7 linked regions of the Tribolium castaneum genome follow. The protein of the gene in region 6 binds, or shares a complex with, the protein of the main gene of each other region. Links are inferred from orthologs where the notes say so. Each region holds a gene or a part of one and is shown on either strand. Other genes may lie near its edges. The genes, in order: RING-type E3 ubiquitin-protein ligase PPIL2, U6 snRNA-associated Sm-like protein LSm5, holn1, Sf3b2, SNRPG, U5 small nuclear ribonucleoprotein 40 kDa protein and LSm7.

Region 1 (4,073 bases), on a different chromosome or scaffold from region 6:
CTTCCTCCTTCTGTCTTTTCAATTCCTCTTCGCGTTCTTTCGCCAACTAAAAATTGACCAAAAATAACACATTACAACAGAATAAGACAATCACTTGTTCGTCCGCCTCTTCAAATGGATTCACAAAAACTTGCGCCCTTATAAGCACAATATCCTCAATGGGCTTATCCTTATTGTCCACTTCAATTTTTTCCATTTCGTTTAAAGTCTCCATGCCACCAACTAAACGACCAAAAATCGTGTGCTTATTATTCAAGTGCTTGCACGACCTGTATGTTATGAAACTAAAAAAAAAAACAATTAAATTTTTGATTATTGCTCAGTGGCTGAGTTTGAAATTAAGTTGGCAAAACTGGACGTTGGCATTTCCCGTTATATCATGAAAAATACTTCAGTTTGTGTATTCATTAAATCATTAAAAGTTTGGAAAAAGTATGGGGAAAATTTACTCATTTTTTTTGTAAAAAATAAAGTTATGGCTACGGATATAAACAAGTTAGGATATGAAACGACATACAAATAAAACGTTCCTGTATTCGATAGTTCCGTTAATGTCGCCAGAGAGCGCAGATGTTCCATTACCGTCTAAATTTTCAGTGCAATGAATTTGAAAAAATGGTTGTGTTTGCATAACGGTTAACACATGACAAACAAAAAAATACAGGCAGATAGAGCATTAAATTCGCAATAGTAGGACATAAACGTAATGCAAAAATTTTATCTTAAACTATATTAAAATAAAAACTTTTACCAACTTGCACTCTGACTCATATTTTTGACAACTCTGCAAATACGGTTACAGATGCAAGAAAAATGTTAGAAAGATAATTGTAGACAATTAAATTTCCTACAAAAAAGTCCGCGGGACTATATCCCTATCTTCAACCATTTAGGCCCCAAAATCGCCCAAAGACGCTCAAGCGACGAATTTGCTTCATTTTGCCAGTGGTCAAGTATTGAAAAGTTAGTTTATAACCAAACCGTTTAAAATAGAAATATGGTGTCGTGGACTTTTTTGTAAAAAATTTAATTCTCTACAATTTTGTTCCTTACACTTTTTTTGTATCTTCAACCGTATTTGCAGCGTCTTGAAAAATACGAGACAAAGCGCAGATTTAAAAAAAAATCACAAACATTTTAGTCGTCAGTTTTTCTCAGACTTAAGGGTGCAAAGCTCAACATTGGTTGAATTTAAATTAATTTAAAACGATTTGGCGCCGAGACAGTATAACGCTCAAAGCGCCCTCATTTTTAGTCCACCGTACTATTTTTTAGGTTCAGAAAATCCTGCGATTTCATCTCCTAACTTATAGTCCTCCCTAGTTATGACATAAATGAGTTTTTTTGTCACTTTGACATTTCAAACGACAATTGACTATTAAAGTTAACATTTGACTGTTGCCATTGTTGCCAACTTAACTTCAAAGTCAAAGGCTGCGTAAAACATACAACTGTGACCCATTTGTGTTTTTCCCACTGTTGGCCATAGACAAGACCCCTCGCCCCACATGTTGCAAATTGGGCCTGAATTCATCAACGAATTTCTTCCCCCAAATGGATTCGCCCCCAGTCCCTGTCCCCGTCGGGTCGCCCCCTTGAACCTACATTTCGTTAGTTTTAGCCCCCATGATGGGTCCCTACCATAAAATTCCGAATAGATCTGTGAAATTTCGTCCCGTTGTAATAGCCACTCGCACAATGCCTGATAAAATTCTCCGAAGCACGTGGCACTTCGTCGCAGTAAATCTCCAAGTTGAGGGGCCCCAAGTTCGTGATTAACCTCACATAGCCTTTTTTCTTGACTCTGTCGTATCGCACCTCATCTTCGTGCTTCACTGCGGCTTCGTGCACCAATCGGGGGACCATCGCTGTTGAGGTGAAACTCGCAGCCACAGCCCCCGTTGAATAATGGGCAGCGTTGAACTTGTCCGCCTTTTCCTTAACTTCGACTTTGTTTATTTCAATTGTTGGCTCTTTGTAGTCCCGTTTTAGCTCCTCAAGGGTGTATTTTGTTTCAGGGTTCACGTTTTTCAAGTGGCCTTGAGGGTCGTTCTTCTCCTTGATTTCCTCCTCGGTTTCGATTCGTAAATTGTTTTTGACGTGGTGGAAGTTGGAAATGTTGAACTTATTTAAGTCTAGTGGGTCCTGTAACATGATGATATCCTTGCGTTCGAAGGGCGTATCACTGATTAAGTCCTTCCAGTTTTTGTTCTTAATATTAAGCTGTTCCACTGCTTCCATCAAGTACACGTTTCCAGTGGTGGCAATCGCCACAATGTGGGAGCTTTTGGTGAATTGTTTGTAAAGGACGGGGCACTCAAACTCGCCTTCTTCATTTTTGTGGAAATTCAACTGCACCAACGACTTGAAATCCAGAGGCTTTCCCGTGACTGGGTTTATCTTGAACTTCTTCAAAAAGGGGAGCAAAGGCTCCAAATCAAAAATATTGCCGTCCAAGTCACAGTAGGGTATTTCCCACGGTTGCAACGACAGGCAGCAGTGGTCAAACGGGAGCCGCTTAAAATAGTCCTCCTCCGCGGTCGTATAACCCGATTTTTTGCCCCCGTAAAGAGTGGTCCACTCTGTGTACGTCAAGTACCTTAAACAAAATTGCGTTAATTACGCACTTGAAACTGATTTTGGACAGGTCTACATTTTGTCTTTCTGGTGCTGGCGCTTCCCCATTTTGCTGTAACTTGTAAAGAGGTAAAATTAAAAAATATAAATCACACGACTTTGAGGTTAGCTCGCTGTCACAACAACAGGTAGACAACACGCGCACTCTTCATGCCCCTAGATGGGTGCAAAGGATTTTGAATTTTTTAAAAAATAATCCGCAATTTTTTGGTAATTTTCGGCGAGGTGTTGGCGACCGACGCCCTGGGGGTGTGGCACAGGGCGGTTTTGTTGCAAATAATCGAAATTCAGGTTTTTGGGCTGTGCAGTTTTTGCATATTTCCGGTAGTATGGTGGCAGGCCTGAGTGCTCAGCGAGTACGCCATGAGCCGATATTAGCAAAAAGGGAGTGAATTGTTTTCAGTTTTTAGTGCAAAAATTAATACAAGTAAGTGTAATTGCTGCTGAAATTTCCCGTTCAATGCCAGTTTCACGTTCCTGAAACTCGATTAGGGCCGTTTATGCGCGTATTAGCCGAGTAGGCGCTGAAAAAAATCGTCAACTTGTGCCGTAAATATCGCCCAATAAAAGCGATATCGTATCGAAATTACAGTAATTTCGGGTTCGGCGTTGTGTTTTAATCGATAATTATTGAATTCCGTCCCGTTTTTCCCAATTTAATGGAAATTTACGGCTTGTGTAATGCTTGAAATCAAAATGGCCGACTTAGCTGACAGGAATCAATTTTGGTTTTGAGAAGGGTCGCAATAATCGGTTACCTGTCCCGGCGATCGCAATCAGACATTGAACCCCATTGTTGCTTGAGGTGACTCTCTCGCACGGTCGCCCGTCAGCCCCCGGCGAGCGCCGGGAGGAACAAAGAGGTGATTTTTTGTTTTGTTTAGCTCGATGTCTTCAGCTGGGTCTAGCGGATCAGGCCGTGGTCGAGGCGGTCAAGCAGCAGTCGGTGATCAAAAGGAAACAAAAGAATCAAAGCCTAACCAGAAAATGTCAAAGGCCTTGGGCACATCAGCGAAAAGAATCCAAAAAGAACTAGCAGAAATCACGTTAGACCCGCCGCCGAACTGCAGTGCGGGCCCCAAAGGGGAGAACTTCTACGAGTGGGTGTCCACGATCCTGGGCCCCCCGGGGTCCGTCTACGAGGGCGGCGTCTTCTTCCTGGACATCCACTTCTCGCCAGAGTACCCCTTCAAGCCACCTAAAGTCACGTTCAGGACGAGGATCTACCACTGCAATATCAACAGTCAGGGCGTCATCTGTTTGGATATTTTGAAAGACAACTGGTCGCCCGCCCTCACCATCTCCAAGGTCCTCTTATCTATCTGCTCCCTACTCACCGACTGCAACCCAGGTGGGTCAATTTCTCTTAATCGTAATCGCAACAAGTAAAACAATGAATCGCATTTATTTTTAAAATTCTTGTTGGATTAAAAACG
Region 2 (2,347 bases), on a different chromosome or scaffold from region 6:
TTACGACTTTTTTTAGTGAAAAAAAAATGCTGCTGGCCGGCTCTCTTCAAATTATGGAACTATTTTGGTCCAAACCTATATAAATGTTCCGGGTACCGGAAATCGAGACAAAAAATTGGATAAAAAAAATCGAACATATGGACTTTTAGCAACTCCAGTGGGTTCTAAATTGCGTAAAAAGCTGATATATGGTAAAATGAGCCGCAAAATTCACTGGAACGAACCGTTTTTACGACTTTTAGTTATTTTCTAACGTCGTTCCATTCCTTTTTTCATTGTAAAGGCCTGGAGTAGTTGGCAACACATTATACAACAAGATAAGGTGGTTGCCTAACCCGCGATTACAAAGTAATGTTCTGAACAACTTATTTTTTTGTGTTAAAAGGCCCAGTTAGGACAAATTTGACACAAACACATCTCTCCTTAAATGTACAGTGTTGTTTTCATCAAAAATAAGAGCTTTTTATGATACAAAAAAGGGTATTAAACAAACACAAAAATGCCCTTATTTTATACTTTATTCAAATGACTTACTCTGGCATCTCTCCACCTGGAACAAGCTAAAATTTTGAATTAGTTTCAAGAATTAATTAGATACAGTATGGCATATTAAACATAAAAACGAAGCACAAAATAAAGTACCATTGTTATATTGTTCCCATTAAGCAGAATTTGGTCCAATTTAGTAATTCTCCTTCCTTCAGGCGTTGTTTCATATTCCGTTACATCCTCCAGTAACATATTGACAAAATCATCAAAGCCTAATAACGTCCCCACGATTTCCTTATCATTTTTCATAATAATATGGATCCTTGACCCTATACACTTATCCACAAGTTCTACAATAGCAAAAACAACGTTAATAAATTAATGATTATTATTGAATGCTCAAACACCGGCAGATAACCAAAAAAACACGTTACGTTTTTTTGCTTTACTCACCTAACGGAAGCAAGGTGGAAGAAGACACAGGCATGGAAGTCATTCTGACCGTTTAATAATACGTTCAAATAATTATAAATTCTTAAATTAGCAATAAATATTTGAAACAACTGTTTACATTTACAAACAGCAAAAAGTAATCAATTTGACAGTAAAAAGGATTTTGACAGGAGCTTAATGGCGCTAGTGTCGCAACTACAGCAAAAAGCTCAAGCTAGGACTTACGTTACGGAACCGAACAATTTAATAAACGATCAAAATACGGCTTAAGACAATTACAAAAAGTAGTGGCACACGTTTGTTAAGACTTTACCGCCTTATGGTTACATTTTTACGGCGTGGAATGCATGAATTGTTTTTATTTTTTATTTCTTTTGGAGCGCGTATGTGCGAGCTTGGAGCTCTTGCAGTGTAACAGGTCATGCGCTTTGCGGCTTTCTTCGGTATTTCAGTCGTTTGTCGTTTTCGTCAAATGCCGACCGAGGTGGGAGTTGAGTGTGTTGTAGTTGTAGGTTTTGTGTTTTTTGTAATAAATAATCGTATTTTTAAGTGAACTTGTGTCTAAAATCGTGACAATAATGTTCGTGGAGTAAATTTTGGAATTTAAAATCATCAATTTGTAATAAAAGGTCAGTATACTCCAGTTAATTGAAACAATGGTGTTATTTTGGTTTAGCCTATATTTACGTTCTCTAAGAGCTTTATACCCCTACACATTGATTTATTCCTCTTTAATATGATTTATAACGCTCTATTTTTATAACACGACAGCTCGAGAGCGTATAATTTATATCGGGGAATAAATGGTAATTGTAGCAGAATGTGAATGCTTAGCTATTTTTATTTCTCAGGAGTTTTTCTTTTATTTATATTCGTGTTACAGTTATCTTGGAAGAGTTCAGTTGCCCTGTCCATGCTGTTTAAATAAACACATTAAAATGCTACTTGCAGCAAACAATATTCTATTATGATAACTTGACCACTGTGGTTGACATTATCATTATGTGGATTATTATAATGAAATTGTGATTAGACACGACCGATATACCTATGGGAATAATAAACATTCTTTGGATATACCGCTAACAAGGAATGTGGCCAGGAAATTCCTGAACGAATTTGTATTAATCATATTCTATTTTTCCCAACGTTCCTCACACAAAGTGTTTGTTTCCACAGATTTTTATAAAGTTCACGTTAGTTCTAATGTATTCCAATATTTGTGGCGAAAGAAAGTAAACTCATCTCCATTTCCCTGAAAGCTATTAAGAAAATGTCAAGTGGATTTCCACATTTTTACTTTCAGCATATTACAGGTACACAGGAGGAAAGCAACCAAAAGACATGCAAACGACAGGATATGCCGTTGAAATGGGCATTTTTAGATAAAAGACAAGTTATTTAC
Region 3 (2,750 bases), on a different chromosome or scaffold from region 6:
CTTCCATAATCCTTTGGGGATGTATGGAGGAGTGATGTACAGTGGATTTTCCATAATGATTGGGGGGATGGAACCGTGGACTTTCAAACATGGCGATCCCGATTACAAGAGACTCAAACCGGCCAAAGACTGTACACCTATCGATTATCCGAAGCCTGACGGTAAAATCAGCTTCGATCTCCTCTCTTCCGTTGCGCTGACTGGGACCAATCATGAAGGTGACCAACCCCCGCATCTAACCCTGAAGGACGATACCGTTCCTGTTAAGCAAAATTTGGGCATTTATGACGGGCCTGAAGGCCGGTTTTGTCCAGCAGGAGTGTACGAATTCGTCCCGCTTGAAAGTGGGGACGGTCAAAGGCTGCAAATCAACGCCCAGAACTGTATACATTGCAAAACTTGCGATATTAAAGACCCGAGTCAGAACATCAACTGGGTGGTTCCCGAAGGAGGTGGCGGCCCGGCTTACAACGGAATGTAATTAAGTGCCTTTAAGCAAATTGCTTGACTTTTTATGTATATTGATAATAAAATTTTTATAACACTGTTAGTCATACAGCTCGAAGTCTATCCGGTTCGAGGTGTAAAAGTTGGATTGTTCGCCACACTTACGCACCCACACTCCCGTCTTGAAGTACCCTTCTTTGGACCACTTTAACATTTGTGAGGTGTCGTACGGACCCTCGACTTGGTCCTTGTCTTGGTCCCACTTAAATTCCCACATTAACTGCTCTGGTTTACCTGACACTGACGCCGTCTCCATCTTCTCCTTCTCCTTGTCGCCGAAGTCGTCAGCATACATGTCCAGAACAGGCTCACTGTTTTTCGGTTTCGTTCGGTCGTCAATTTTTTTGGTAATTTCTTCAAAAGTCTCCTGGTATACGTTCATGTTCCCCGTCTTCGTTAATATACTATTCGCGATCTCGGTCATGTCCGCCACATCCTGATTCGAATTCAAAGTCCCTGCCTTCTTGCGCTTCAGTCTCTCGACACTGGACAACTTCAAATCGCCCCCTAACCGCCTCAAACACTTGTTGACCGTTTCTTTGGGTTTCATGTAGTTGAGCATCTTTTTGTACAAACCGACCTCATCGAAATCCTCAGCTTCCGACTCAGAATCACTCTCGGCCCCCAAGCCTTTCTCGTTGGGGTCCAACTGGTACTTATCGTCACTGTTGACTTTATGCCAGTCGATGTTGTCCAACCAATTATCCCGTATTTCCTTCTCGTTGTTCCAAATAAAGTGGCCCTCTTTGTCGAAATGCCCTTCTTCCATCTCCTCTTTCATGTTGAAGGCGGTCATCCGGACCCCTTCAACCTGACGCGAAATTCCCTCCTCTTCGCCCTCGATGTCGTCGGCGTTGAGCTCTTCAGCGGTCTCATCGTAATCGTCCTCTTCGTCCGAATCCAAGGAATGTTTTTTTGCGTTAAACTTCACCTGGCGCCGCTTATTTTGCGAAAAATCGCCTTCGTTGAATTTTCGTTTTGACATTTTTGACAAATGCAAAACAAACAACACGCATGCTCTCAAAACCGATCTGCACTTTTGGTTTGTATCCACGGTTAAATTTTTTAATATTTGTTTTTTTTGGAAATAATCATAATCAGCTTTTTTTACCGCAAATTTTTCACCACGCTTATTACTAAAACATAAACAACTCAAAAATATATTGTAAAAAACCCAAAAAGTTAAGAAAAACTGTAAAATTGAAATGGTATGTTTGGCAACTATCCAAGAGATGGCACAAGCTACTTTAAAATTTGTTTATACTGTGTGTTTCAAAAAAGATGTCCTCCAAATACGTGCAAATACGAATTTCTCTTATGCTCTCATTACTTATTAGCAGTCGCATATTTACATAAGGAGAAAATGGGCTATAGCCCAGAACGACAGAATTTTAGAATTTTTTTGTTACAAGCTTTATTTTTTAAATAAATTGCAAACTAAAGGTTCTGATTTTTTATGGTTGAAATAATGAGTTTTAAGATGTTTTTAATAGTTTCAAATTATATTATATTAAATTCACAATAAGTAAACAGAGAACAAGCCTGAGTACCTAATGCAAATATCTACAGAAAAAGTTTTTAAGTCAGCGACAACGTACACGTACAACTAATATTGTAGAAAAAAGTGCAAAATAGCTACGCTTTTTTTTTTAAAACTTCATAAATAAATACAGGCTGATTTTTTAACATATCTCAGAATATAAATGAGAACATTTAATACCTAGTACATGTTTGGTGACATTACTAAGAATTGTTTCAGGTTTTCCCATGTGATTTTCAGAATTATCTTGCATTTTTAGAGAATTTGTGCTAGAACTGAATTTGCTATTTGATTGACTGATTAAAAAAAGTTCAGATATTAAAAAAAATTAATTAATTTTGTATTTTAAGTTTATTAAGTTACACCTAATGCAAGATTGTAGAGCCATAAATACTACAAGCGCGTCAATTAATAATACAGTGAAACTTAGTTACAACGAACACCTAAGTGACTTCCGAATTTGTTTGTTGTAACCGATCGTTCGTTTTAACATATGGAGTAATTTTCAAGATAAATGAGTTCTAAAGTTTAAGATAGATATACGTTATGAAATAAAGTATGATTATATTTTATTAAAAGCTATATAATTACATGAGTTCATAGTTATACATATGTATACCTATAACAAATATTTTATTTATTTAATGATTTGTGTTTGTACTTAACACCTTAGCTGTTTTTAAGGTATGTTTCACTTTTGAAA
Region 4 (4,259 bases), on a different chromosome or scaffold from region 6:
CAATGACAGGCACATTTTGTTTTTTGTCCTTTGATGTTTCAGATTTTTTTTCTTTTTTCGCCGTTGAAGCAACAAAATTAAATTTGGGCAAATCAATGGTAGGACTGATCTTCTCTGTAGTAGTCTTTTCCTGCACTTCAATGTAGCTTGAACTTCCCTCATCTTCATTCACAGGACTCAAGTTTACAGACTTGCAATTTTCAAAAGATTTTGAATCTTCAATTTCCCTAAACGAAGAAAACTTTCCTTTCCCACTTTCGTCCGCTTCCAAAGAAGACAAATTCTGTTTTTTGGTCTTTGGTGTCTTGCTTGAAGCAACAAAATTGGGGAAAGTACCATTGCTAGGACTATTTTTCTCTGTAATACGTCCATCTTGTGTACTCTTCTCGTTGACTTCAATGTAGCTTGAACTTCCCTCATCTTCATTTAAAGGGCTCAAATTTACGCTCTTGCAATTTTCTGACGGTTCTTCAAGAGATTTAAAATCTTCAATGTCTCTAAACGAAGAAAACTCTCCTTTCCCACTCTGTCTTTTGACCTTTGGTGTCTTGCCATGTTTATTTTCTTTTTTCACGTGTCCATCTTGAGCCATTTTCTCCGTGACTGTGATGAAACGTGAACTTCCCTCACCATCACTCACAAGATTTACAGAATTTTCGGAAGATTTCTCCTTCAAACTTTTTGTAGTGAGATCTAATGTCTCATCATTGCACTTGTCTTCCAGTTCACATTGCTTGGTACTCCTAAGAACTCTCTTAGCTTTGACGATTTTTCTTTTATTTTTTGGTACAGGTGGCGGCGAGATTTTTTGAACTTCCTTGAACAAAAAAGGGCTTCCTTTGTCACTTTTCCCGCTCTCATCGAACTCCAAACGAGGCAAATTCTGTTTATTATGCTTTGACGACGTTGGCTTAATATTTTCGTCTTCTTTTTCCACTGCAGAAGCATTAAAACTGAAGAAAAGCAAATCGTTCGTTTTTCTGACTTTTCGTCCACTTCTTGTTGCTTTGGCACTGCTTAAGGGGCCACTGGTGCTTTCCATTTCAGGTGGATTTAGTTTTTTATTTAAACGTCTGCTGGACCTCACTGACATTTTAATGCAAGCTATAAAACAATTTTTATGTAATTTTCGTATCAAAAAAACTCGGTTTTTACCTTTAACGTTGTGTTAAATCCAATTATTCGCTTTTTATAGTAACTTTACAGTAAACAAGGCACACAAATGACAAACCGACAACAAAACCGTTTTTTTGAATCTGACATTTGAGATTGAGATGCGTGATTGGTCCAAATTAGATTGGCATCTTGTTTGAAAAATAAATTGATTAAATATTTATAAATTATTGTATTTACAAGATGTTAATAGAGAAAGTTGTAACTAACTGGATAAATAACTACTACATTTGATTTATTCTGTATGAAAATTTTGGGAAATGTTTTCGCTTTTGCAGGAAATCGAGCTGTCGCGATTACGGTCGCATTCGCTCTAATTCCAAACAAAAATGTCGACCGAAACGTTGCTGAATGCCGCAATAAATTATTAATAATATTAAAAGTTTGCGGTTTTTCCTCATTGTAGATAAAATTTAACAGACTATCTGTTATAGTAAGTTCGCTTCTTGCTTTGATTCAAACATTTTTTAAGAAATTAGTATGAGAAAGAGGTTATATCAAATTGAGAAAAGTGCTTTTTAGTGTTAGAACAATTCCATAATCCCGTCTCCTTTCAGCTTACGGCTGCAACAAGCACTGATTCTACTGACAAATGAATCCGGATCAGCTACAAGAGGGTGTCCCGGAGCACCCTGTGCCCCACCAGGAAGGGATGTTTGGGTCAGGTATGCAAGGGTGGGCTGGTGAACATGGTAATTGATTGTTTTCAACCAGTTTGTTTATATCGCATTGGACTATTTCAGGTGTTGGTGGTGAAAAACAACTCCCCTCATTGCTATCCCTAAAAGTGGATCCTCCTGATCAGATGATGGAGACGCCACCAACTGAAGTTGTTTTACCTCAAGTGTTGGAAGAGGTGTTGGCGTTAAAAAATCAGAGAGCGCGTGAACTAGAACGAGAAGAAACGGAAACAGTAGTTCAACAGCCGCAGACTCCTAGAGAGGCGCTTTGGGAGAAAGATGACAATATTGTAGCTTTTTTAATTTTTTGTATGAATATAGTTATAACGATTGTTTTTTTAGGAACCCGTGGTTGAAAATGAAGAAGAGAGTCAGGTGAAAGAGACCACCAAAATCAGTAAGAATAAAAAGAAGAAGAAAAGGAAGAAGAACAAGAAAAACAGGGAGAATGAACAGAATAAAGCGGCTGAAGAGGAGGAGAAAAAGGATGGGCAAGAGGATGGGAATACAGATGTGGAAGTTGAGTAGGTGTTTTTTCTATTTGTTTGACAAAATTGTTATGAGTTTAATTAAAGGTACGTCCAAGAGACGATTAGTCTTCTTGAACTGGCTCCACAATACCGGCAGTTTTATAGCATTTTTGACGTGTTTAAAATAACTGATCAAAAGCATGATATCCCACCCCCAGTTCTGGCAACGCCAACATCATTGTCAAGTAAATCAATGTTAAATAGCATAGGAGATCACTTTCAGGAAGAAATGGAAGATGGGGACGACGTAAGTGTTGTATTACATTATGAATAAAAAATATGTATCTATTTTTTTTTCAGAAAAAGCTTGACGATAAGTCAAAAATGTCCAAAAGAAAGCTTAAAAAATTGACGCGACTTAGCGTCGCCGAGCTTAAACAACTAGTCAGTAGACCAGACGTTGTAGAAATGCACGATGTAACAGCCAGGGACCCAAAATTGTTGGTCCAATTGAAAGCTCACAGAAATACCGTTCAGGTAACGATTATAATTTTCTCAAAAATTAAAAGTAATGCAGCCATTCCATGATTACGGACGGCACATAACTATTATTTTAAAAATGGCTTATTAAAAAAAAAAGATGGATTAACAATTTAAATTCATTTTGCCACTTCTAAAAGTTGTTATAAATAATTAGTTACGGATGGGACACAAAAAATTATGCTTTGTAACAATTTTATTATAACACGAAAATGTTAACAAAATTCAGGAACTACTAACAATTAATAAAAAAAGAGAATACCTTTTATTAAATTATTATTAAGAATAGAATTAAGTCGTAAGCTTTGGAAAAATAATTTTCGTCACTACTTCCAATTTGAAAACTCTTAATTTTGCGCACATATAGAATTCTGTAGCATTATTAATTATTATTTTCTTTAGACGAACTTTGTTCCAAACTAAACATTTTACTGAACGCATAAGAAGCAAGGATTTGAATTTTTTATTAAAAAGTGATGTTTTGGAACAAACTTAACAGATTTTTCATAATAATAAAGCAGATGAAAATATATGCGGAGTTAGCAATTGGCTGAATAATGTGTTTTTCAGGTACCACGTCATTGGTGTTTCAAACGAAAGTACTTGCAAGGTAAACGTGGTATAGAGAAACCACCTTTTAATCTTCCAGATTTCATTAAAAGGACTGGAATCATGGAAATGCGTGCGTCATTGCAAGATAAGGATGAATCCAAAACACTCAAAGCTAAAATGCGGGAAAAGACCAGACCCAAACTTGGAAAAATCGATATTGATTATCAAAAATTACACGACGCATTTTTCAAGTACGTTTTTTTTATTTTTGATAAAAGCTAAAATTGCTATTGTTTGTAATTGTGTATTCGTAGAGATTGGGAATAATTGAAAAAGATAGACAGCTGTTTATTTAGAATTTTTTTTATAATCTCATTGTTATTGTTAGGTGGCAAACTAAACCCAAAATGACCATCCATGGGGACCTTTATTACGAGGGCAAAGAGTTTGAAACCAGATTGAAGGAAAAAAAGCCTGGAGATTTATCAGAAGAATTAAGAACGGCCTTAGGAATGCCTGTGGGCCCTAACGCTAATAAAGTACCCCCACCATGGTTGATTGCAATGCAACGTTATGGTCCCCCACCCAGCTACCCCAACTTGAAAATTCCGGGATTAAATGCCCCCATCCCTGATGGTTGTGCCTTTGGGTACCATGCCGGTGGGTGGGGAAAACCACCGGTGGACGAAAATGGAAAACCATTGTACGGTGATGTGTTTGGAACAAATGTTACCAACATAGATGTAAGTATTTTATAATATTGTTTTATTGAATTTTGTTCAAATATCAATGTTTAGGACATTGGTGAGGACCCTTCCGTGGATCGCACCCTCTGGGGCGAGCT
Region 5 (2,213 bases), on a different chromosome or scaffold from region 6:
CAACTACAAAAACTAACAAATTTCGTTAGTCACTTGGTGCTAGAATCTATTCGATTTTCAGGTGAAGAAGAATGTAAATCAGGCACCAATAAAAGTAATGGTTTATTGTGTATACCTAACTCGAATTTACCACCATACAAAGCAGATTTATTCACCTAAATGTCTATAAAAATTTCGACTCGACTAATGACTTTTTTTTTTCGTGTTGTGGAGACCGTGACCTCGACTTAGATCTTGAGTTATTTTGTTTACTATTCGATTCCCCTGAATCCCCCCAATCCGACAGATCATATTTCGATAAGTCTCCGTCGTCGTCATCCTCCTCCTCGTCCTCCTCCTGCTCCTCCTCTTCTTCCTCCTCAACCTTCTTCTCCACCTTATCTACACTATTTTTCATCTCCTTCACCTCCTCACTTTTCTTCTTTTTCCTCCTCCCGAACTCGTCATATTCGTCGTCAGACTCGTGCTCCTTATACTCGACCACCCCCCTGTCGTTATACCCCCCACCGAACCCCGTCCTCTCCTCCACCTCCCCAAACTTGGGGGCGTTACAAACGTTACACTGCTGCCTCCGCGCCCAATTCACGTTACCGCATTTGTTACACTGCCAATCGTCGGCACTAAACAACCCGCGACTTTTCTCTGCCGCCGCTTTACCGATCTCGTGCCCCAATTTGCGCTTTTTCGCCGACACCGGCCCCCGACTTTTGTAACAACGGTTACAGTTGTTACGGCGGGCGAAATTTACGTTACCGCAGTCCGGACACGTCCAGTCTCCCTCGTTCGACGCCGACGGGCTTTTCAGCGACGGCGGCGGGGGCGGTGTCACTTCGGCCTCTTCCATGGGGGCGATACTAGACTAGAAAAGGCGTAAAGAGTAGTGGCTAGAAGGAGCACTACTAGAGGGAACGGAGGAGCAAATGTTAACATCTGGCGGTACTGGTACTGCTTTTACCTTTACTGAACCTTTTTCCAGCGGTTATTCCAACAAATTTGTTGATAAAAAAGTAACGTCAAACCGAAGATGCACCGAAATGTCACTAGCACAGAGGGATTTTCGACGCCAAACGTTGCCCACACCAATCAGGACACGATCACCAAAACAACAATTGCCTTATTTCAACGCAACACTTACCGATTTCTGATTACAGTTATCACCAAAACCAATGACTTGTTTTGTTTAATTTTTTGCATTAACTATACGTTAAAAATGTGAAAAAATTGGGACAACTGATCATGCCCTGTACTTAGCAACTGTCAAATCTGTCAGTTTGTGTCAAGCGTTTGAAGAGCGTTTTAAATTTTAAAAACTCAAAAAAGTACACAAAATGTCGAAAGCACATCCTCCGGAATTGAAAAAGTGAGTCTTGTTTTGTCGTAGAACGTATTACTAGTTTTTTTGCAGATTTATGGACAAAAAATTGTGTTTGAAGTTGAATGGGGGCCGACAAGTCGTTGGTATTTTGCGCGGTTTCGACCCTTTTATGAATCTAGTGGTGGACGAGAGTGTGGAAGAGTGCCGGGATGGCAAGAAAAACAATATAGGGATGGTGGTACGTTTCTTTTGAATTAGTGTGGATTTGAAATTTGAGGTTATGTTTATTACAGGTGATCCGGGGAAACAGTATCGTCATGTTGGAGGCTCTAGATAGGATTTAGTTTGTAATTTTGGCTTAATCGATAATTATTTGTAATAAAAGCGTTCGATTCTGACCGAGTTTTCTTTTATTGGGCTTGGGGTAGGGTGGAAATAAGTGAATTAGGGTAATAGGAGGGAAAGCATTATCGTCGTCGCTTTTGTGCGTTCATTCACAAAGAAATTCAATTCGTATTGTTTTCCTCGAGCGGTTTGTCCGTAACAGTGTATGAAAAGCTTAGAGAATGTCGCATGCGCGCCGCCACTGTTCCACCGTCGGGAAAATATTGGAAACGTTCGCTAGTTTGGCATTAAAGCGTCTCGGCGGCGACGTTCCAGTGAAAATTTTCGTGTAGTGACGAGTTTTCCAGAGCCACATCACAATCAGCGTCAGGTATTGCCCCCATTGACAGTTTTTCCGGGAAAACATCCGGATCGAAATTAACACCCACTCGATTTTAATGTCATTTCCTTGGAAAATGAGTTTTTTGAGGAACAGTCTTAAAGCAACCACCCTTGACTAGGTCAAAGGAACACGCTGAAATGTATTGCCCTATAAGATTTCGCTTTAATTAGT
Region 6 (3,968 bases):
GAAATGATTGTACAACTTAAAAAAACAGAATAAAATCATAAAATTTTCTGTTGAATTGAATGCGGAAGACGTTTTTGAATTTGGTATTGCCTTTATTATAAAAAAATAAAATTTTTCGAAAAACTATAATTGATAATTTTCTTTATTTACATCCTCATATGTTCCTTCTGAATAAAGTTAGAAACCTTTTTGGAGAAGATCCCTAAATGAATATAAGTTCAGACGTATATAGGGTGAGTCTTAACTTACACGCATAAATTTAGGGAATGATAGCCTTTCTAGTAATAGTTATTTACAATTTACCTGTAGTAGGTAAAATTTTACAGCGTGAAGTTTTAATATTGAAGCTCGAAACGAAGTTGAGGGCTTTAATACAAAAATTGAACCCTGTAAAATACCTAACGCACAAATAACTTGCAAAACTGGTTGGCCAAATATCGCTAAAAATAGATAAATAATTACCACTCAGCATTTAGATTATTTTACCACGCAATGTCAACATTTTACTTAGCAAATGACTAAATAGTAGTCATTTATACGGACTAGAAAATTAAAAAATTCTAGAATGAAACCATAAAATTTTCTGTCCAATTATTCTACAGAGTAAACTTAATATAACACATAAAATTTATATCTTAGTTATGGCTTATTTTTTTCAATACACAAATCAATTTTATTTTTAGAAACGCTAGTCTTTGACATCCAGTTATTGAGAAAAGACATGTTAAAATAACATTTTAAATAGCCACCAACTTTTTTGTTTACTATTTTAGTACTACACTCCTTCATATTTCTGATAAATATAGGGTGCTCAAAAACTGGCGCACCAACTCAGTGGTACATTATTGAGAAGCAAGTGCAGATTACGGGAAAAATGTTTAAAAAATTCCTAAAGTCATATTTTGAAAAATCTGGAGCTACAAACTTATTGTGTTAACTTCTTTAGTTTTCATTATTTTTTTTATGTATTTATGTTTCATACCAAGTAATCGTTCCGTAACAAAACGATGAATAATTATTTTCAAATTTACTATCAGATTTTAGCAGTTTTTTTAATTTAAAAAAATTAAAATTCATCCAAAAAATCGCAATGTGTAAATGTGCCAACACTGGCAATTATTTCCTAGGAAACCGTTTCAAAAATAATTTATTTTTATTCTTGCTCAACTTCTGTTGCGATCATGACTGTTAGACAACGTTGCCACATATCATTTATCCAAAATCCGTTATTTATCAATAACTTTAATACAAAGAATTTTTTACTATTTTTACCTTTATATGTAACCAGTTCTCTACCACACACCAATGAGTTGGTGCGCCAGTTTTTGAGCACGCTGTATAATAAAATTCAAACAAATGGAGCAAAAAATCAAAAAACAAAAAGAATAAAAAAATGAAAGAGGTAAAAAAGTTATGAATAATTTTACACAAGGGCTTTATTTTTCTGTTTTGGCTTTATTTTATAAGAACGATTGTTTGTTTTTCCTTATTTTTTTGTTTTTAGGTTGTTTTCATATTAGTTAAAAAACAAAAATAAAAAACATGCACCCCTGATAAAACAAAGCAATAACAATTCGTGTATACATATAGTCGATTTTTTTTATAATCAACTGTCAAAGAGCCGTCAGGTTAGTATTACCATAAATAGTAATTTTTACTAAGATGGTACTAATTTTTACCTGGCAAATTTAATTTAATGGTCTTTAAGTTACAACACGCACAACACATTTTTTTAAAAGGCTAACAAATTCTAAAGACTAACGAATTCAAATTTCATTGGCTGCAAAAATTGTCCCGAATGTCAAATCTGGTGTGTAAAATGTCAAATACAGAATACAGCTAGTTTCGAAAGTGATTAGACATGAGATTTTGGTGTGATACAGTCTGGTCTTTATCAAAATTTTGACACTGACAGTTAATTATAAAAAAGAATGAACTGTAGTTATCAAATTATTTTTAACAGCTAATGTACCTGTACAAAATTTAAAAATATTCTTGTTACAAATAGTTTTATTTTTGAATAAATAAACTAGTTCAGAATATTTTAAAAATGAACATTTGCTTCCATTTATTTAACTTGGTAATTTTTAACTACTATTGGAACCTGCACACAGGCGGCCAATTGGCATGGCTCAGCCCTGCTAACATCAACTGATGAATTATGTTGCACAAACAATTGGAAAAACAGCTTTAAGCTTATTATTTACATTTTTATCAATAACAATTGAAAATTTTTTACTCTTAACTTTCGAATTATGTTAACCCCCTGAATCAAATTCCCAACGCACGGGCGTTAATTTTAAGACACCCTCTATGTACTTCAAATTACTATATTAGATATTCAAGTAAATCCTCCAAAATTTTGATATGAAGACCTATTTGGCTGAACCTCATTGCAAAAAAAACAACTTACAAATTCTACGGTCGAAACCTGATGAAGCTACATATTGACCCTCAGGGTGGAATTCCACTGTGAAAATCTCACCCTCGTGGCCCTCCAGTAACATAATGGGGGCAAATAGATTGGAAGTTCTCGCAGGGGCCTGAAATACATGATTTGAGGAGGGTTTTTGAGGTTAAGTGTTACTAACCGCTTGTAAGACCGATTTGTTTTTGTTCGATGTGGCCACTTCATTTTTCGATTTTTTGCTTACGGGGACTAGAGATGATGAATCTTCGGCTCGACGTTTCTCAACAACCATTTTTGGTGTTTTAAACAAAAATTGGGAGGAAAACAATAACCTCACTTTTTAGCGTCAACAAAACGAAGCGATAAGCGCCCTCTGGTGGAGAGCACGAAGTACGATTTGATTGTATACCCTGTTTCAATTATATAAAACAAATAGTTATCTCCTTTGGAATAAATGTTTGACAACAATGAAATGGTTTCCCAATGTCGATATCTAAAAATTATTTGGTTTTTTACTTGCCAAAATTTCGAAAACGATTAATATTAGCTCACTTAACTCACTTTGCGTAATTCTTATTACTTTTTTGCTCTAAAATTGTCAGTATTTTCCCGGTACTAACAGATTTTTGTTAGTAATTTGCAACACTGAAACACAATTAAGTTTCTCTTGGCAAATATTTGAGGTACAACCCCATAAGACTGTTGCATTATTGCGCCATCATTTTTAGTGTGTCGTACTAATTTTTTGGGATTAGAAACTCCTGTAATTTTATATCTTGTTTCATCTCCTAAGTTTAGGAGGAACCCCCGGAGTTTAGGCTCATTTTCAAACTACAAACATCTTTTTTGCGTAATTTTACTAAAATAGATTGATAAGAATGATATCTTCCAAATTATAGTCGTTATTATAGTCTGCTTTGTTTGATTCAGTAAAGTTTCGACTTAAAAACTACATATTTTCTTAAATTCTGTCAGAAGAAACTTAAAAATCAGCAAACTTGATCAAAATTAGATACTAGATACTAATGTTTTTTGTGTAATTTTGGCAAAACAATCCAAAAGGTTGTTAAATCGTGTTAAAAATAATGTTATTTGTCTATTTTCAGATGTTTATTTAATATTTTAGCACTTTTTTTCGTGAAAAAACACCGTGAAAATCCTTAAATTAACTAAAAATTGACTTGACTTTGGTTTATTTTGCTCAATTTTTGAACTCATTTAAACTCTAAAATAAATCAGTTTGTAAAAAAACTCTTAAAATGACACTAAAAATCATTAATCGAAAATCCCAAATTTGTTGGAAAATTATGTTATCTGTGCCTTTTTTAAACGTAGAATTTTGTTAACAGACCGACATTGATTAATGATTTCTTCCTCTTAGACGATATTACAGAAAAAACTTAAAACACTGATTGCATGCCAAAAAAATTGCCTAAACATTTGCAAATATTTACGTACGTTTCTTCCAGAATATGTATATCCTGTTTTTATAACTCATTTTAATTAATTTTTACTTAAAATATTTACTTCCGTGCCTACGGAGAGTGTGATGCAACTA
Region 7 (2,545 bases), about 10 Mb from region 6:
ACCACTTCCACTTCGTACGAATTGCCTTTCGATTTCTGGAAACCTTGAAATTTGGAGCCGTTGTATAAGAGGGACTTTGTTACCCCCGGCTGTTTTGAATTGGCCGGCGGGGGAGGCGTAATATCCACCCTGACCGGCATTTTTAAAGCACTTTTGCACTCAACTGTCACCAATGTCACTTTTTTGAAAGGAAAATGGCGGCGGTGAGTCATCCGAGTCGGTCAGAGCGTTTTTGCGCATGCTCGGTGCGCAACAGGGCCATTAAATGTGTGGGCGACTGTACTCAACCGTAGTTTTGGACAGAAAAACCCATTTTTGCAATCAACTGAATCAACCCAGATTTATTATTTGGGGCAATTATTCGTTAATCTCAAGCGTAATTAACACGTTTTTTGTGTGTACGCTTTAATTACTTTTGGTTATAAGCATTGGTGGTTGCTTACGCTCATTATAACTAAACTTCTAATTAATTTATTGAGCTAGTTTGTGCAATAAAACAGTTTTATTAATTTTTTACCGGTTTTATTCAAAAAAACGTCTTACAAATTAGAGGTATTTTTATGGTACAAAACTTAGTCTTGGGATATAAAGGGGTTCTGTATGGACTCCATGCCGTCCATGGGGCATATGAGCACGACACTTGTGCCCCTACAGACCACCAAACCCAAGGCCCTCGTGTCTTCTGTTAATTTATAAGGGTCGTCTGGATCTCTCAAGTATTCGATTGTGTTGTCTAAGACGAGGTTCAAAAGGGGGTCATAGCCTTTTAAAATACCACTAGCTTCTCGGCCGCCCGCAAATTTCACCCTAATTGTCTTTTCAAGGTATTTAGAGAGGTCTAGAATCGACTCTTTACGTTTCTTCTCTTTTTGGTCACCGCTCTGATTCTACGGTAAAAATGGGGGTTGAGGGGGCGAAATGGGGCAGTTTGGGGTACGTACTTTTGATTTGTCACCTGACGATGCCATTGTTCGGCTTTATTTGTGGAATTTTGCCGATTTTGAAATTCTAACCTAGAATACGTTTGGAGGTGACGCGTGCATATGGTCTCCTATGCGCACGGAACCTTCCGATTAATTTTGAAATAAAAAAAAATAATTATCGGTTTGTAAAGTCCAGCAATTTCGTAATTAATTTTCTTAGCTTCTAAAGAATTACGTAAAAATTGACGCAATTTTGGGACACAATTTGTAGAGGACTGCTTGCGCAGTGGAGGTACAAAGTTTCAAATGAAAAATGCAAAATTCTCGGTTATCATTTATTCAAAAAAAGTTATTTACACATTGGGGCGTTACTAAAGCATTAATACATGTTAACTATTTGGGCTTCAAGCCCTGGCAAAATGTACAGTATGGCAGAAAATTGTTTGTACTGTTGGTCACGAAAGTTGTGTCAGAGTACTAGAACGTGCTCTTCGACTCCAAGACCGCACAAATAAATCGCTTTTCCCTCCTCTAACGTACATCCAATTTCCAATAACGTACACGGCGAACAATCAAACTGATAAACACTGAAAAAGTTAATTAGTTTTTTTTTCCTACCAAACGTGTGACCGACTTACGCAATTGTTAAATTTTCGTGTAGAAACAAATCGTCGTTACTTCTAACGACGTGATTAACAAGTGAGGGGTTTATCGAAGGATTGATTTCCATTAACGTACAGTTTTTAATTAGGTGTTCTTTGACGGTGCTATTGCATTTAATTTTTCTAATTGTACCGTTTTTATCCGAAGTGAGGAGATTTAAACTTAATTGAGCGGCTTGTGCGCGTACTAGTTTCGTCAAAACGTAAATTGTGATAACTCCAGATAGGAAAATATCACAGGTGAAAATACGATGGACGTAACATATTGAACTATTCAAAAATTCTTTAGTAATTAAACACCTAACACCAGTACTGGTGAAAGCACACTGTAAACAGTTGCACTTATTGTTCAGTGTTGGTATTTCGTGGTGGTTGGGGACCCATTCTAGTGACTTTGGGTGCTTGATTTTTGAGAGTTGCGGGTGTTGCGTGAACAGGTCGTAGACGTCCTTAAAATTAATGCATTTGTTTTTATTAAGTTATTATAATTTTACTTAAAAAGTTATAACCCGCTATTTACATAAGACAAGGACAGAGCTATAGGAGTTCCGATAGGAAAGAGTGAGAGAGAAAGGGCGAACTATTTTTCGTAATACGAACTTGGGCGCGTTATAACTAATTAATTAGTTAAATACCTGGTTAACTCCAGTGAAAAAACTGGTCTTGAAGAACCTCGTAATGGGATGCGTGTATAAATAGGGCCACAGACTGTTCCAAAAAGCCGAGTCTCGATTAATAAAATCCTCGAAGAATTTTTGCCGATTTTCACTTTTGGGCAGCGTTTCGTGCGTCCAGCCTGGCGCGAAAATCGCCATTGATAAGTTGTGTCTCCTTATCATCTGGGCGGCCTTGAAACAGTTGAATTGACCGCCTCCGAAGGTATTGCGACCGAAGACATCCACCCCCACGTAAACGTCCAAAGTCCGATGCTTTGCAAATTCAATCGAATTGTGGATATTT

What was found.
Region 1: U5 small nuclear ribonucleoprotein 40 kDa protein (region 6) and RING-type E3 ubiquitin-protein ligase PPIL2 share a complex: the UniProt entries of both Homo sapiens proteins name them as parts of the minor spliceosome. The link is inferred for Tribolium castaneum from reciprocal best matches to the Homo sapiens genes SNRNP40 and PPIL2.
Region 2: U5 small nuclear ribonucleoprotein 40 kDa protein (region 6) and U6 snRNA-associated Sm-like protein LSm5 share a complex: the UniProt entries of both Homo sapiens proteins name them as parts of the U4/U6-U5 tri-snRNP complex. The link is inferred for Tribolium castaneum from reciprocal best matches to the Homo sapiens genes SNRNP40 and LSM5.
Region 3: U5 small nuclear ribonucleoprotein 40 kDa protein (region 6) and holn1 share a complex: the UniProt entries of both Homo sapiens proteins name them as parts of the U5 snRNP complex. The link is inferred for Tribolium castaneum from reciprocal best matches to the Homo sapiens genes SNRNP40 and CD2BP2.
Region 4: U5 small nuclear ribonucleoprotein 40 kDa protein (region 6) and Sf3b2 share a complex: the UniProt entries of both Homo sapiens proteins name them as parts of the minor spliceosome. The link is inferred for Tribolium castaneum from reciprocal best matches to the Homo sapiens genes SNRNP40 and SF3B2.
Region 5: U5 small nuclear ribonucleoprotein 40 kDa protein (region 6) and SNRPG share a complex: the UniProt entries of both Homo sapiens proteins name them as parts of the U4/U6-U5 tri-snRNP complex. The link is inferred for Tribolium castaneum from reciprocal best matches to the Homo sapiens genes SNRNP40 and SNRPG.
Region 7: U5 small nuclear ribonucleoprotein 40 kDa protein (region 6) and LSm7 share a complex: the UniProt entries of both Homo sapiens proteins name them as parts of the U4/U6-U5 tri-snRNP complex. The link is inferred for Tribolium castaneum from reciprocal best matches to the Homo sapiens genes SNRNP40 and LSM7.

The regions. Positions count from the first base shown.
Region 1 is NC_087395.1:15,994,907-15,998,979, reverse strand, and holds the start of RING-type E3 ubiquitin-protein ligase PPIL2, read right to left. Parts: upstream 2,801-4,073; 5' UTR 2,686-2,800; coding exon 2,654-2,685; intron 2,600-2,653; coding exon 1,642-2,599; intron 1,602-1,641; coding exon 1,450-1,601; intron 285-1,449; coding exon 95-284; intron 47-94; coding exon 1-46. Other genes in the region: Ubc2 (ubiquitin-conjugating enzyme E2-24 kDa), read left to right, coding at 3,526-3,988. UniProt on the Homo sapiens protein: Has a ubiquitin-protein ligase activity acting as an E3 ubiquitin protein ligase or as an ubiquitin-ubiquitin ligase promoting elongation of ubiquitin chains on substrates.
Region 2 is NC_087394.1:33,640,770-33,643,116, forward strand, and holds U6 snRNA-associated Sm-like protein LSm5, read right to left. Parts: upstream 1,123-2,347; 5' UTR 986-1,122; coding exon 943-985; intron 840-942; coding exon 643-839; intron 561-642; coding exon 531-560; 3' UTR 501-530; downstream 1-500. UniProt on the Homo sapiens protein: Plays a role in pre-mRNA splicing as component of the U4/U6-U5 tri-snRNP complex that is involved in spliceosome assembly, and as component of the precatalytic spliceosome (spliceosome B complex).
Region 3 is NC_087402.1:7,512,643-7,515,392, forward strand, and holds holn1 (CD2 antigen cytoplasmic tail-binding protein 2 homolog), read right to left. Parts: upstream 1,531-2,750; 5' UTR 1,493-1,530; coding exon 548-1,492; 3' UTR 501-547; downstream 1-500. Other genes in the region: Etf-QO (electron transfer flavoprotein-ubiquinone oxidoreductase, mitochondrial), read left to right, coding at 1-481. UniProt on the Homo sapiens protein: Involved in pre-mRNA splicing as component of the U5 snRNP complex that is involved in spliceosome assembly.
Region 4 is NC_087396.1:14,198,314-14,202,572, reverse strand, and holds the start of Sf3b2 (splicing factor 3B subunit 2), read left to right. Parts: upstream 1-1,459; 5' UTR 1,460-1,606; intron 1,607-1,730; 5' UTR 1,731-1,765; coding exon 1,766-1,865; intron 1,866-1,916; coding exon 1,917-2,143; intron 2,144-2,195; coding exon 2,196-2,377; intron 2,378-2,428; coding exon 2,429-2,630; intron 2,631-2,683; coding exon 2,684-2,860; intron 2,861-3,433; coding exon 3,434-3,666; intron 3,667-3,803; coding exon 3,804-4,158; intron 4,159-4,212; coding exon 4,213-4,259. Other genes in the region: uncharacterized protein LOC103313715, read right to left, coding at 1-1,093. UniProt on the Homo sapiens protein: Component of the 17S U2 SnRNP complex of the spliceosome, a large ribonucleoprotein complex that removes introns from transcribed pre-mRNAs.
Region 5 is NC_087395.1:18,416,593-18,418,805, forward strand, and holds SNRPG (probable small nuclear ribonucleoprotein G), read left to right. Parts: upstream 1-1,200; 5' UTR 1,201-1,328; coding exon 1,329-1,360; intron 1,361-1,405; coding exon 1,406-1,553; intron 1,554-1,608; coding exon 1,609-1,659; 3' UTR 1,660-1,713; downstream 1,714-2,213. Other genes in the region: zinc finger Ran-binding domain-containing protein 2, read right to left, coding at 164-844. UniProt on the Homo sapiens protein: Plays a role in pre-mRNA splicing as a core component of the spliceosomal U1, U2, U4 and U5 small nuclear ribonucleoproteins (snRNPs), the building blocks of the spliceosome.
Region 6 is NC_087399.1:11,299,474-11,303,441, forward strand, and holds the start of U5 small nuclear ribonucleoprotein 40 kDa protein, read right to left. Parts: upstream 2,801-3,968; 5' UTR 2,703-2,800; coding exon 2,592-2,702; intron 2,544-2,591; coding exon 2,414-2,543; intron 1-2,413. UniProt on the Homo sapiens protein: Required for pre-mRNA splicing as component of the activated spliceosome. Component of the U5 small nuclear ribonucleoprotein (snRNP) complex and the U4/U6-U5 tri-snRNP complex, building blocks of the spliceosome.
Region 7 is NC_087399.1:1,125,679-1,128,223, forward strand, and holds LSm7 (U6 snRNA-associated Sm-like protein LSm7), read right to left. Parts: upstream 1,102-2,545; 5' UTR 969-1,101; coding exon 942-968; intron 888-941; coding exon 573-887; 3' UTR 501-572; downstream 1-500. Other genes in the region: glucose-induced degradation protein 4 homolog, read right to left, coding at 1-140; ENGase (cytosolic endo-beta-N-acetylglucosaminidase), read right to left, coding at 1,393-1,510, 1,562-2,034, 2,221-2,545. UniProt on the Homo sapiens protein: Plays a role in pre-mRNA splicing as component of the U4/U6-U5 tri-snRNP complex that is involved in spliceosome assembly, and as component of the precatalytic spliceosome (spliceosome B complex).